Macaca mulatta: one gene and its partners. Each later gene encodes a partner of the first gene's protein in a complex. Links are inferred from orthologs where the notes say so. Each region holds a gene or a part of one and is shown in the gene's direction. Other genes may lie near its edges.

Region 1 (4,207 bases):
ATGCAATTTCTGTTTAGATCTTGACACCTGTTGATATTACTAGTCACTATGGAAAGAAGCAAAAACAGTTAAGATGCTCTAACATTTTTTTCCCCTGTAGAAGCCAACATGGAATACACCATGAAAACTGTCTAAATGGGAACCTTCTAATACGGCTCATTGTACGCCATGCATTTCCACTACGTTGGAACTGACTTCTACTTTCCTCCTTATCTATTAGGCGACTTAGTCGCCTCTAGGCAAGTAACTTCTCTGTTTCATTTTCCATGCAGTAAAAAAAAAAAAAAAAAAGGTGGAGGACTTTAGAGAGCTTTTACCCGAATAAGGTCTATTAGACATCTTCAAAAGCTTTCTCTCCAGACGACGCAGAAACAGGCACACGGGATTCTGTGCTTTCCCCACCTCCCACTCCCAAGCCCAGGCCCCATTCTTCTCACTTTCAATCCTCATTTGGGCTCCTAAAAGAATAGCAAAGAGAGTTCTTTTATCAATACCAGCGCTCCTCTGTCCCCAAATCCGGCTAGGGATGGGTTCGGAGGCCTCAGCTGCTGGAGAGAGGGTAGAGACGATCCTTCCTCGCCCATCTAGCCAGCCACCACCCCTTCCCAGATCTAGCGTCCGGGCCCCTGACCAAGCGCGTGCTTGGAGCTCTCCGGTACAGTGACGCGCGCGCTTGCCCGGCTAGGGCCCCTGTGAAGGAATGGGATCCCGAGGTGCTTGCCAGGACCGCAGCAGGCGGAAGCTGCTGGCAGCGGGAACGGGCGGCTCCCGTCAGCGTGGGTGGGGGAAGGGCGGCAGCCACATCCGGAAGTCGGTCCGGGAGGGAGGGGGAAATCTGAGGAACGAAGCTTCCGGCGGCGCAAAGGGTGTCGGGAGCGGCTTCCTGCAAATCTTCCCTGGCCTCTGGAGGGACCACCGTTGCCGCCGCTTCGGCTTCCAGGATCTGCGTTCGGGTTACGCGGCCACGGTGGCAGCCACTGCGACTCCCACTGTGCCTGGCTCTGTCCATATTAGTTCCCAGGCGGCCGTCGCCGTTCCAGCAGCGGCAGCGGCGGACATGTTGTGAGGCGGCGGCGCGGGTGTCTGAAGGATGGTTTGGCCGAGGCGGCGGCAACGGCTGCTGGCGGCGGCGGCAGCGGCAGCGGGGCCTCGGGCTCTATAGAGCCGAGCCCGCTGGGTACCCGCCCGGTACCGCGGCGAGGCCAGTGCCCCTGGATCTTGCCTCTTCGACGCCGTTGGGGACCAGTTAGGCGACAGTGCCCGCCCCTCTGAGGAGACCCGAAGGTGGTTCCCCAGCCGCTCAAATTTCCGGACCACCGCGCTTTCCCCTCAGCCTGGGCTGTGCTCTCTCTAGAATCCTCAGGCCCCCACTTTCTTCCCAAACTCATCCTAAATCTCTCACACACGCGAGCGTTCCCAGCCCTCAAGCCAGCTCCTCCTCCGTTCATTTTCTGCACCCTCTTCGCGAAGCACCCCCCGGGATCACTCTCCGAGGGCGGCTTTTTGAGAGATCTCCGTGGAGTAGTGGACCAGAGCCGGGGAGTTTTTAAAAGCCGGGGCGCGAGAAACAGGAAGGTACTATGGCTTCCTCGTCTGGCAACGATGATGATCTCACTATCCCCAGAGCTGCTATCAATAAAATGATCAAAGAGACTCTTCCTAATGTCCGGGTGGCCAACGATGCTCGAGAGCTGGTGGTGAACTGCTGCACTGAATTCATTCACCTTATATCTTCTGAAGCCAATGAGATTTGTAACAAATCGGAAAAGAAGACCATCTCACCAGAACATGTCATACAAGGTAAGTCATGTGTGGAAATTGGTTTGAATGAGGGTCTAGGGGAGCAGTCTGCTAATCGCGTGACGCTTTCATGTCAAAGCCTTCATTCCTCTTCACTGGTAAGTAACTTAATGAAAAAGCCAGACTGGCATGTAGGTAGCCCGTGCTTTAAAAACAATCCCTTTGTAGCATTCTTGCAGTACTTTTCATCTAGCGAATACACGTAAGGAGTGCAAACATTTAGGTCAACGTCCCCAAAACATAAAGAGTGATCTCACTTTACAGCCAGGTAAGCCGAAGCAACAGGAATTGCTTGCCTGAAGTTGAACTTAGATAATAATTAAGGAACGCAGAAGTTCTCCCTTGGAAAATTAAAAATTCAGACAGAGGAACTTCAAGTATGGATGGAGACAGAGCGCCCCTTCCCCACCTGACCTTTCACCAATGTAGAGGAAAAGATTTATTTTCTGAACACATGAGTTAAAAAATTCTTAATATACAATGTGTTCAACGTTGTCAAGTTTATCGTTGTTGAATAAAAGGAGGTATGTTTTCTGCTCTAAAAATGGTTTGATGGTACGTTCATGAATGAGTTACGAAAGCACTCCTGGTCCATTCTGTAAGAAAAGGGTGAACTTTAAATTTTTGTTTTTTTCTTTTTGTTTGCCTTTATGTCGTTTGCTTTGTTCTATTCTGTGGAGATAAGTTTTAAAATCTTTGATTGAAAGTTTATGCAAGTTTTTTTTTTTTAAACGGAAAATTTCCCCGTCCTTTCCTGCTGTCATTCTTATTTGGATGCATACACTTAGGCTTTTATTGAACAGCACTTCTGAAAGCTTCAACAGTTTCTTTTATCCTGAAAAGGTTGTGGTCCCGTAATAGGGATTTGGGGGACTGTATTCTAATGGTTTCAGAGAGGAGAAACATATTTACTAGTCATAATGTTTCGGGAATGTACCTTTTGCGATATTTTTACATGTACTCTTGTGAAAGAGTTGTTCTCAATTTGAAGTGAGAACTTGCCTTTCGTAATAATCTAATTAAAAGTATTGATTGCTTGTGAAACCAGGGAAAAAATGGTTAATTTTAATCATTTTGGTAGGCAGGTGGTTGTCTGTCACTTAATTTTTATACTTTAACTTTTTAAAATGTGACTTGCCTGTTGTACTGAAGTAGAGAACACATCTGCTTATGTTGACCATATCCAATATTTTACTGTCAGTATTGACAAAAGGATTAAATGATTGATTTTTAATCCTTTATGACGTCTTGAAAGTAGTTTTAAAATATATCCTGCCATTTCAGTACATAAGGAGAAAAATCCCTAGGAAAAAGCATATTTGATTCTTAAAACTAGTACTAGTTTTTTTTTTTTTTTTCTACTTGATGTGCTGAATACTCTAGCAAGTAAAATGAAAGCCAAGTTGTCTGTTTTTTCTCTTGTGTATTTATTTTTACATTGTATGTGTGATTGCTGTCATAAGTCTTTCACAAGATTATCCAGCACAGATAGCTGTAATTTCTTTTTACAACTCATAAAAAGGAAAAAGAACTTTTTATCAACATTGCCTTTCTAATGAAAATTGCAAAAGATTTCAACAGGGTCTGCCTAAATATTTGTTTACACTACAGAAGTGGGGATCGTTCCAAAAACCTAATAACACATTACAGTCTGTCTTCTTGGGGAGAGTTAATTCTTTTCTAGGATATATTTAGATTTCTGATTGACATGATGGAATAGAAGTGCAGCTGTAGCAAGCAGTATGCTAAATAATTCAACTTTGGAATATGCTAAATTCAGTTTAATGTGTGAGTCAGAAAGCTATAGTGAAAAAGCATTTCCATTGTGTAATGAAGATGATTTGTTTTTGAAAATCATGTATTGACGTGTTATAGTCTTAAAATTTTACCTCTTTTTTTTGTATTATGCTATTGTTAGGTGGATAAGAATCTACATTTTCGCCCAAGAATTCTCCCTAATTGGGGTTGTAGACTTTATACATTTATAATCTCATATTGCTTAATTATTCCAAAGAAGTTTTGTTTTGAGAGGTTAAATTTTTAAAGAAATTCTTAAGGTTTATATGTTTTAGGTGTTTGAAGTGTGTTCCTGTACACTAATCATAATAGATAGGACATTTTTATACTTTTCTGTCAGCATTGATTAGGAATGTAGAATATATCCAAGTGGAATAAATAATGTACATTTTAAAGTGGTATGATTCTCACATGTTGAAGTTTGAGTTTTTAGTGGTAAGTTTAATGAACTGGACTTTGCTTTAGGACATTTCACTTGTTCATTTCCCACCTTGCTTTATCTTGTCTGAACAAATTAAGCATTCTGAGATAGTTCTGTAAAATGCAAGTTAAAGTTGAACCAATTTGATCACCAGTAAATCTATTAAATAACTTAGTTTAAAAAAATTTT
Region 2 (4,012 bases), on another chromosome or scaffold:
GGCTAATTTTTGTATTTTTAGTAGAGATGGCGTTTCACCATGTTGGCCAGGTTGGTCTTGAACTGCTGACCTTAGGTGATCTGCCCGCCTCAGCCTCCCAAAGTGCTGGGATTACAGGCGTGAGCCACCACGCCCATCCAGGAGGATCTCTCGAGCCTGGAAGTGTGAGACTAGCTGTGGTGATAGTCAGACCTGTCTTTAAAAAAAAAAAATTAGTCTGGGGGTGGTGGCTCATGCCTGTAATCCCAGCACTTTGGGAGGCTGAGGAGGGTGGATCACCTGAGGTCAGGAGTTTGAGAGCAGCCTGGCCAACATGGTGAAACCCTCTCTCTACTAAAAATACAAAAATGAGCTGGGCGTGGTGGTGCATGCCTATAATCCCAGCTACTTGGGAGGCTGATGCAGGAGAATCACTTGAATCAGGGAGGCAGAGACTGCAGTGAGCCGAGATCATGCCACTGCACTCCAGCCTGGGCAACAGAGGGAGACTCTCTCAAAAAAAAAAAAAAGAAAAAAACCACAAAAAACAAAACACCATTTACATGTATTATGTGTAGATAAAAACATTAAATACATAAAAATTTGATAACATGTAGGTAAAGTATTAAAAAATCAGCTCCAGTAGTAAATCTTTATACAGTGAGGAGGGATTGAAGGGGAACAGAAGATCCCCGAAGACCAGTTGGGAGGCTATTTATAGTCCTGGGCAGAGAGATGACAGGGTCTTGGGTAGAGGGTGGTAGAGTTAGAACGAAAGAGAATGTTGGCCTCAAGAGATATTTAGATGGAAAACTGGACTTGGATTGTCACTAGTGTGACTGGGATAAGTCTCAAGCCTTCCCTGCCTCAATCTCTTCATCTGTAAAATGGGCTAGCAATAACTACTGTTATTTGTATACGCAGCACTTAGCACATGGGTTGGGACAAAGATGGCACACACAAAAATCATTGTTACTATTGTAATTAATAGGGAAGCTCATACATACCGGCAGAATGAATATTCTGTCAAACTTGGGGTTGAAATTCGCCACCTTCTGGGGCAGAAAAGTGATGGACAACCACGCCTTTGCGAGAATCGACGCCCACACTGCCCAGGAAGTGGCCTCGCGGGCCGGGGTCGCAGCCTGGACCAGCCCCGCCCCGCCCCGCCCTCATCCCTGCGAGCTCCGCCCCGAGGCCGCGCGCGCGCGCCGCCGCCACCACCGCCGCCGCGCGCGCCCCGACGCGCCCGGCTGCTGACGTGCGGGGCGGAACGGGTCGGGCGGGTTCCACCGATCTGGGTGCTTCCGCGGGCTGCGGGGGTCGCTGGGGTTTCGTGGCTGGGCAGCTCCGCGGGGCTTCGCCCGCTCCCTCACCTCGCTCTACCCTCTCGCGGCGCCCGGCGGGGCCGCGCTGCAGCTGGAGACCCGGAGAAAGGGTGAGTGTTGGCGGGCGCAGGAAGGGACCGCGCGGGCGCGCGCCCTGCTGTCTGGGGCATTGTTTGGGCGGGGGCGGCGCGGGCACGTGCGCGCCCCTCCCCCATCGGCCGGCTGCGCCGCGGCGGGACCCGGTGAGGCCCCGGGCCGGAGGGGAGGGCAGGGAGGATCCCAGGTGCGGGCCGAGGAGCCGCAGAAGCGGGAGCCTGGAATCGGAACGTGAGTTGGGGGCTTCCTCTTCAGCGGGGCGCTCCGCTGAGGGGATGCGGGTCCCCGAGCCTCAGCGGCCGGAGGTTTCGGGATGTTAAGCTCTTGGCCTTGGAGGCAAGATTTGGCCCCAGGACCAGAAAGTCGTGGGTTTACCGAAAGGATCCTGGAATGCCCCTCCAACCTGTCGCCATCCCCACCGGCCCTCCCGGGATGGAGGGGAGGGGTTAGAGAGGCTTTGGGGTTCCAGGGAGGGGGCCGGGGCCAACGCGCCGGAGCTGCGGGCAGTGCGGGGCGGAGTGGAAGCCTCGGAAAGTGAGGACTCCTGCAGGAAAGGCTGGCTTGGAGGGCTGTGGCCAGACTGCAGAAGACAATGAGGTTCTCCCCATCATGAATGTGATTATGTTAAGAAATGGAAAGCAGAGAAAGAGAAATGCCATCAGCGATCTTATAGGCCTGACACATCATTTTTTTAGTTTGATGTTTGCTAGTATTTTCATCTAAGCCTTCAGCAGTTACAGAGTTGACCCACGTTTTCCATTTCTCGCTCACATGTACAAAATGCGCCATAATATCATATAGTATTCAGCAATATCATTTCCCCTTAATGAGTAGAGAGTATTCAGCGTAGAAAAATTTAAAAATACAAGCAAAGCAAGAGAAAAATGCCCGCAGTTTTACGGTCTAGAGATATTACCCTTGGATGTATATTCCTGTTTGTGTATACTCTTTAAAAGATAGGGCAGATGATGCTCTGATTAGGAGTTTAGTTTTTCCGGGAAACCTTTGAAGGTTTTGAGAAGGCGAGTAGCATAATCCGACTGCTATGTAGAGGAAGAGGGCTGGGGAGGAACCTACGAGGTCAGTTACTGTGCTCTTTGCAGTAGCTTAGACTAGGCCCATGGCAGGGAGATGGGGAAGTGTAAACAGATTTTTAAGTGTTTTGAAGGTAGAATGAACAAGACTTGGAAATGAATTGGTGAGGGAATGGTGGGAGTCTTTGCTTTTTTGATTTTTGTTTTGAGCACCTGAGTGAATGGTGGTGCCGTTTACTGAGATGAAGAATGGAAGAGAGAAATTTGAGGTGGGAAAAATATCGAAATCTATTTTGGATGTATTAAATTTTAGATGCTTATTAGTTATGAAGTCGGTGTGTTGAGGCAGTTGGATGTAGAGGGCTGGAACTCAAGGAAGAGAGAGGCTAGAGCTAGAGATAAAAATCGGAGTGGCTGGGCGCAGTGCTCACACATGTAATCCCAGCACTTTGGGAGGCCGAGGCAGGTCGCTTGAGCCCAGAAGTTCTAGACCAGCCTTGGCTACAAGGCAGGACACCGTCTCTTAAAAAAAAAAAAAAAAAAAAAATTGGAGTGATCAGTACATAGATGACATTCAAAGGTATGGTGCTGTGTGAGATCACTGAGGGGAAGCGTGAAGAAGTGAAAGGGGCTCAGACACTCAAATACCTGTAGGTCTGGCAGAGGAAGAAGGTTGAGGAAAGGACACAGGAAACAGCAAGTGAGGTAGGAGAAAAAGCTGGTATCATGGCAGCCAAAAGAGATATTTCTGGAAGATGTTGAATTGGTCCTTTTATCAGGGCTTCTGAGATGTTCATTAAAGTTGTCAATTGGATTTGGCAACACGGAGGTCATTGGTTTTGGTCATTGGTCTTCCTGTCCATAGTTCTGGAAGTGGAAGGTGGGAACCAGACTAGAATAGTTTAATGGAATGTGAGGAAATGAAACTAATGAGTGCAAATTAGAAAAAAAGTGCCCCTATTTCCATCTGCGCCAAAACTAAACTGGATCGATGAAAAATGATGTCTTGTGTTTTTTTCATTTATTGATTACTAGTATGTTTGAACATTTTTTTCACATTTATTGGCTATTTGCGAATTTCTTTTCTTGTTCTCTGGCATCTTTTGTTATTTCCTAATTGATTGTCAAAGGTTCTTTAGATATTAAAAATAGGTAGCTTGACATACAGCATTCAGAGCTCTCCCCACATGTTTTTCAGTTTCCAATGCTTCATGTTCATTCAGCGGATGCATGATAGTTTGCGGTGGGTTATTTTTTATTATAAAATCCATAGGAAGAGGAGAACTAACATTACGTTGTAGATCTCTGAGTGCAGCCCACGTATGATGTACATTGCTCCGTATTTCCTTAGGATAGATTCTCAGAAATAGTTGGTCCTGTCCTCTTCTCATCAACCATGGATTTTTACTTGAATGTTCGTTGCCACGTTCTTGGATTGTTCCACATCTCCCTGCCTTTGGTCCTGCTCTGCTTTCAGTCTGTTTTCTATCATGATAGAAAGTAGATGGTGGGAGTTGATGCAGTTTTCTCACAGAAAACAAGACTTATGAAGCAGATTTTTTCTTTTTCTTCTTT
Region 3 (4,219 bases), on another chromosome or scaffold:
ATTGCTAATTTGGTACAGAACAAAAACCTACAGTTACCCCATTACAATTATTCTCTATTAACAAGAGAACCAGAAGCAAACAAAACATGCTAACATGGCAAAGAATCATGAATTTAGGCTAGATATGGGGATGAGTGGCTTGAATAAGAAGGTTGCTCAATTTGAGATTGGACATTGCGAAGTATCTTTCTGGCTGTAGACATAGGCTGGAATATCAGTTGTATATCTTGCTGCCAACAAGGGAACAGAAAAGATTTTCCAAGATTCTGTCAAGCCTGGTGATCCCATTTGTCTTTGGAAATGAAAGCCTAATTAAGAGACTCCCTAGGGACAGGTCAAAGGAGTTCTTTTATCTCCATCGTCCTTATCCTAGTTCCTCGATGCGTTAGTCCTTCCCTTTAATGTAGTCTACCCTAAAACTAAAGAATACACATTGTGCAAGTTTCCACCTTTGCTTTCTCTACTGTAAATGCATTAGACTATTAACAGAATGAAGAGTTTTAAATCCCACCTTCCTTATCTCTCAGCTGATGTTTATTTCTTAAAGTGTTTTTGAATAAAATTTGACACTAAAAATTCTTGTAATACTTTTTAAAATTGGATAACACTTTTTAAAAATATTGGAGTCTGACTAAAAGATTACAAAACCCCACGAACATCTTTATAATAAAGCTATTATGATAAATAATACTTTGTAAAATTTCAATTCGGTTTTATGTCCTAATTTCAAAGATTGTGGTTGCATATTATTTATCCAGGTTAAATTCCTGTTGGATTATATTGACAGTGTTTCATTTCTTTGAAACAATTTTAGGGTTAAGAGTCTCTACAGTTATAATGGAGAATATCAACTGTAGTTTCAGTTACTCAGGAGGTTGAGGCAGGTTGAAACTGGGAGGCGGAGGTTGCAGTGAGCTGAGATGGCGCAACTGCACTCCAGTCTGGGCGACAGAGTGAGACTCTGCCTCCAAAACAACAACTTAAAACTTGAAGAGATGAAAATGTTCTATCCAACCATGACAATTCCGTGTGAGTTTTCCAGTGTTTAGAAACACTTGCGGGCACCACTCCATCCCTGACCAGCAAGCTTCCTCCAGAACCACTCCACACCGCCATGTTAAAATGTCAACTTTTAATTTGGGGACTCAAACTACAAAATTTAACTATGTCTCCTCTTACCAAGATTCACAGTGAACATCTGGGAGTCAAGGTAGGCTTCATAACGCTAAACAGACCACAACGCTAATAACCACCTCAAATATAGCCTTCCAGCCTAGCTTTGGTCTGCAATTTCCCACTTCAGAGCCTCGGCGTAATGTCGCAGTTGCAACTGATTGGTGTAACGTGCTTGTCAGTCACATAGAGAGGGTGGGGCCTCAAAGCCTGATCTAAACGAGACGCCGTGTCGTACGTCATCGCCAAGCGACTAAAGCTGGAAGGGAGGGAGCGGGGTTGTGAGCAAACGTTGGTGGTGGTGTTGGTGGTGGTGTTGGTGGTGGTGGTGGTGGTGGTGGTGGTGGTGGTGGTGGTGGTGGTGGGGCGGCCTGAAAAGGCATCATGGCTGCTGCCACGGAGCTTAGTCGCCCGAACAGCGGTGACAGGAGCCTGGAGCGAAGATGCAGCCCTAGCCTCTCCCGAGAGGTGCTCTACGAAATCTTTCGCTCCCTACAAACCCTGGTTGGACAGGTGAGAGGTGGCCGGAGGGACTGGGAATATGGAAGCCATCCGGCCCATCCCTCCATTCTTTTCTTCTAGCAGGGGCCGGGGGCAGCTAGGCCTGCTGAAGTGTGGGATGCCGTCCCTGAAGCCGAGGTCGGGGAGGAGCGCGGGCCCAGCCGCCTCGCTCGGAGTGAGGAGGACGGCGGTACCCGTAGCCGAGTAGTTTACCTTGCAGCTGTCCTCTCCAAGAGTGGGTGAGGTTGGTCTAAGTGAAAACCCGGCTCCGAAAGAGGCAGGCTTGGGGAGAATGAATGTGGAAAAGCTTCACTGCGAATTTAGGAGGCGCCTAGCGCTCAGGGTCCTTTTTCCTCCAACTTACTCTTTATGGGAATTGGTTGGTCAGTAGGCCTGAGATTTATAGAAAAGCGCGCGCTTATTAGCTTTTTCTTGGCCGGGGGGAAGGAGTAATTTGTTCTTATGAGTTACTTGGTTTTGTTTATTTCTTTTTTCCTTGGGGCTGTTTTGGGCATCTATAACCCTTTCAAATGGGGAGGAAAGTAAAAGGAATTCGTTTAAAATACTTCTAGCGTAAAGTTGGATGAGTTATCCATCGTTGATGCTGTTTGCGTTTAGAACTGTCGTTATTTAACTATTAACTAGTTTAACTGACTGATAAATCGCTTTTGCAGAAATGCCATAGTAAAATTGGTTTTGAATTTAGTGGGCTTCTTCGATCAAGTCACTGTTTCGTTTCACGGTGTAAAATTAAAAGCAAGTTTTAAATGAGAAACAATTTAAAAGTACGCTTGTTTACCTGCCTTTTAAAAGGAAATATTTTCTATCTTACATAGACCATTTTCTAGCCGTAAAAGTTTGTTTTGAGGCTGGCACTAGCGCATGTGGACACGGCAGGCATTTGTGTCAAAGATAATGGTAAATTCTTATGAAAATAGAACATTTGTCTGATTTGTGAAAATTATTTTTAAAGCCTTGAGTAGATGGAGAATCAGCTTTTTAAAAAGTTACTATTTTAAAAAATCATAGTGTGTTGTGTCTTACAAAGAACATTACTGTAAGTTAAACGGTTTTATGTAATGACGCAATTATTAATGGAGTCTGCTTAAAGATACAACTTTTAAATTCAGTTGTTTGCCAAGTGCTTACCGAAATCGTTTTTTAAAGGCTTGGGGTGTTTTGTTATATATTCCAGTCTTAAGACCCAAGACCTTTTAAATGGTTTAAAAGTTAGAGAACTTTTTATGGCGACGTTGGAACTTAAGTTTGTTTATTTTCTAATGTCAAGATGAAAAAAGTTTATGCTCACCTATTAACAGAAGATGGAATATTTTTTAAAAATACTGAGCAATGATTTAAACGTTTCTTTTGAAACATTTAGCATACTGAATTTTTCAAACTCATTAGAAAATTTTAAACATTCAAGTACTCTACAAGTAAAGAAGCGATTACAATTTATTTGTGTCACCTGTCAAAAATGTTGACAGTAAATATTTGGTTACTTTACCATGACACAGTGAAGGGACCTCCTATACAGGTGTCAAAAATATGATTGTTTCATCAGTTAAATGCAAACTGTTTTCATAATACTCTATATTTTGAGAAGTATTAAGAGTGAAAGCCAGAGTTCCACACTTGCAAAATTGCCCCCAGAGAAATCAGTATTTTCTTTTGCAACCACTTTAAAAGATTTCTAGAAGGTATGTTGTAACATGCCTAACTTCATCCTGTGTCATCCCTAAGTATCATTGTATTATTAGATCTCAGTAGGAAACATAAAACTGAATGTTAAAAAGAATTTTTTACTTAAGATCACAAAATTTACTAATTTTAACCTTTTTGCTTGCCTCTGGATGGTCCATCTTACCAAGCTAAACACTTACTTATTTTTAGCTTGGATTTTTGTATTAATTTAGTAAAGTGTTTACTGAAAATATTTATTTAAATAGTCTATATTAATAGCAGACTAATAGAGATTTTCGAGTGAATGGTTTACTCTTCCAAGTTCTGTAGGGCAAAATGCATAGAATTCATATTACTAATAATGAATTTGTTGAATGAATAGTTAGGTGTATTAGAATAGTTTTAAATTAATTTGTGACATTATTATGTGAGTTTCTTAAAAGACCAGTTATTCTTAATTGCACTTGAAGCTTATGTAATTCTGCTGAATTGAAATGACACTATGAACGAAACATTAAGACTTATTTTTCTATAAGTTATTTTCTCTAGAAAATGTGATACTTTGCTTTGGTTGAGGATTTGCCTGCTTTATCCCCAAGCTGTATTCTTAAGTTTTCTGTGATCAACTGTAGATCTCTTTGAAGACTATGAAAGTACAATAATAGGTTACTTCCATACATAATACAGGTTGTTGTCTAACAAAATCTTTATAGGAATTAAAATAATGTAAATGAATGCATTCACTTTAACGTAAAATCTTAACATATTATAATCTTTGCCAGTGCAGCCTACATGAAATTTCATGTATCTTTACGCTTGTCTAATATGGACTTCTAAATGCTTCTGTTCTCATCTTCATTTC

The links. Proteins that work in one complex are often made in the same cells at the same time.
Region 2: DR1 (region 1) and YEATS2 share a complex: the UniProt entries of both Homo sapiens proteins name them as parts of the ADA2A-containing complex. The link is inferred for Macaca mulatta from reciprocal best matches to the Homo sapiens genes DR1 and YEATS2.
Region 3: DR1 (region 1) and MBIP share a complex: the UniProt entries of both Homo sapiens proteins name them as parts of the ADA2A-containing complex. The link is inferred for Macaca mulatta from reciprocal best matches to the Homo sapiens genes DR1 and MBIP.

What each region holds. Positions count from the first base shown.
Region 1 is NC_133406.1:146,925,382-146,929,588, reverse strand, and holds the start of DR1 (protein Dr1), read left to right. Parts: upstream 1-1,398; 5' UTR 1,399-1,580; coding exon 1,581-1,800; intron 1,801-4,207. UniProt on the Homo sapiens protein: The association of the DR1/DRAP1 heterodimer with TBP results in a functional repression of both activated and basal transcription of class II genes.
Region 2 is NC_133407.1:95,835,394-95,839,405, forward strand, and holds the start of YEATS2 (YEATS domain-containing protein 2), read left to right. Parts: upstream 1-1,207; 5' UTR 1,208-1,417; intron 1,418-1,501; exon of another isoform or gene 1,502-1,634; intron 1,635-4,012. UniProt on the Homo sapiens protein: Chromatin reader component of the ATAC complex, a complex with histone acetyltransferase activity on histones H3 and H4. YEATS2 specifically recognizes and binds histone H3 crotonylated at 'Lys-27' (H3K27cr).
Region 3 is NC_133412.1:109,439,160-109,443,378, reverse strand, and holds the start of MBIP (MAP3K12-binding inhibitory protein 1), read left to right. Parts: upstream 1-1,414; 5' UTR 1,415-1,557; coding exon 1,558-1,686; intron 1,687-4,219. UniProt on the Homo sapiens protein: Inhibits the MAP3K12 activity to induce the activation of the JNK/SAPK pathway. Component of the ATAC complex, a complex with histone acetyltransferase activity on histones H3 and H4.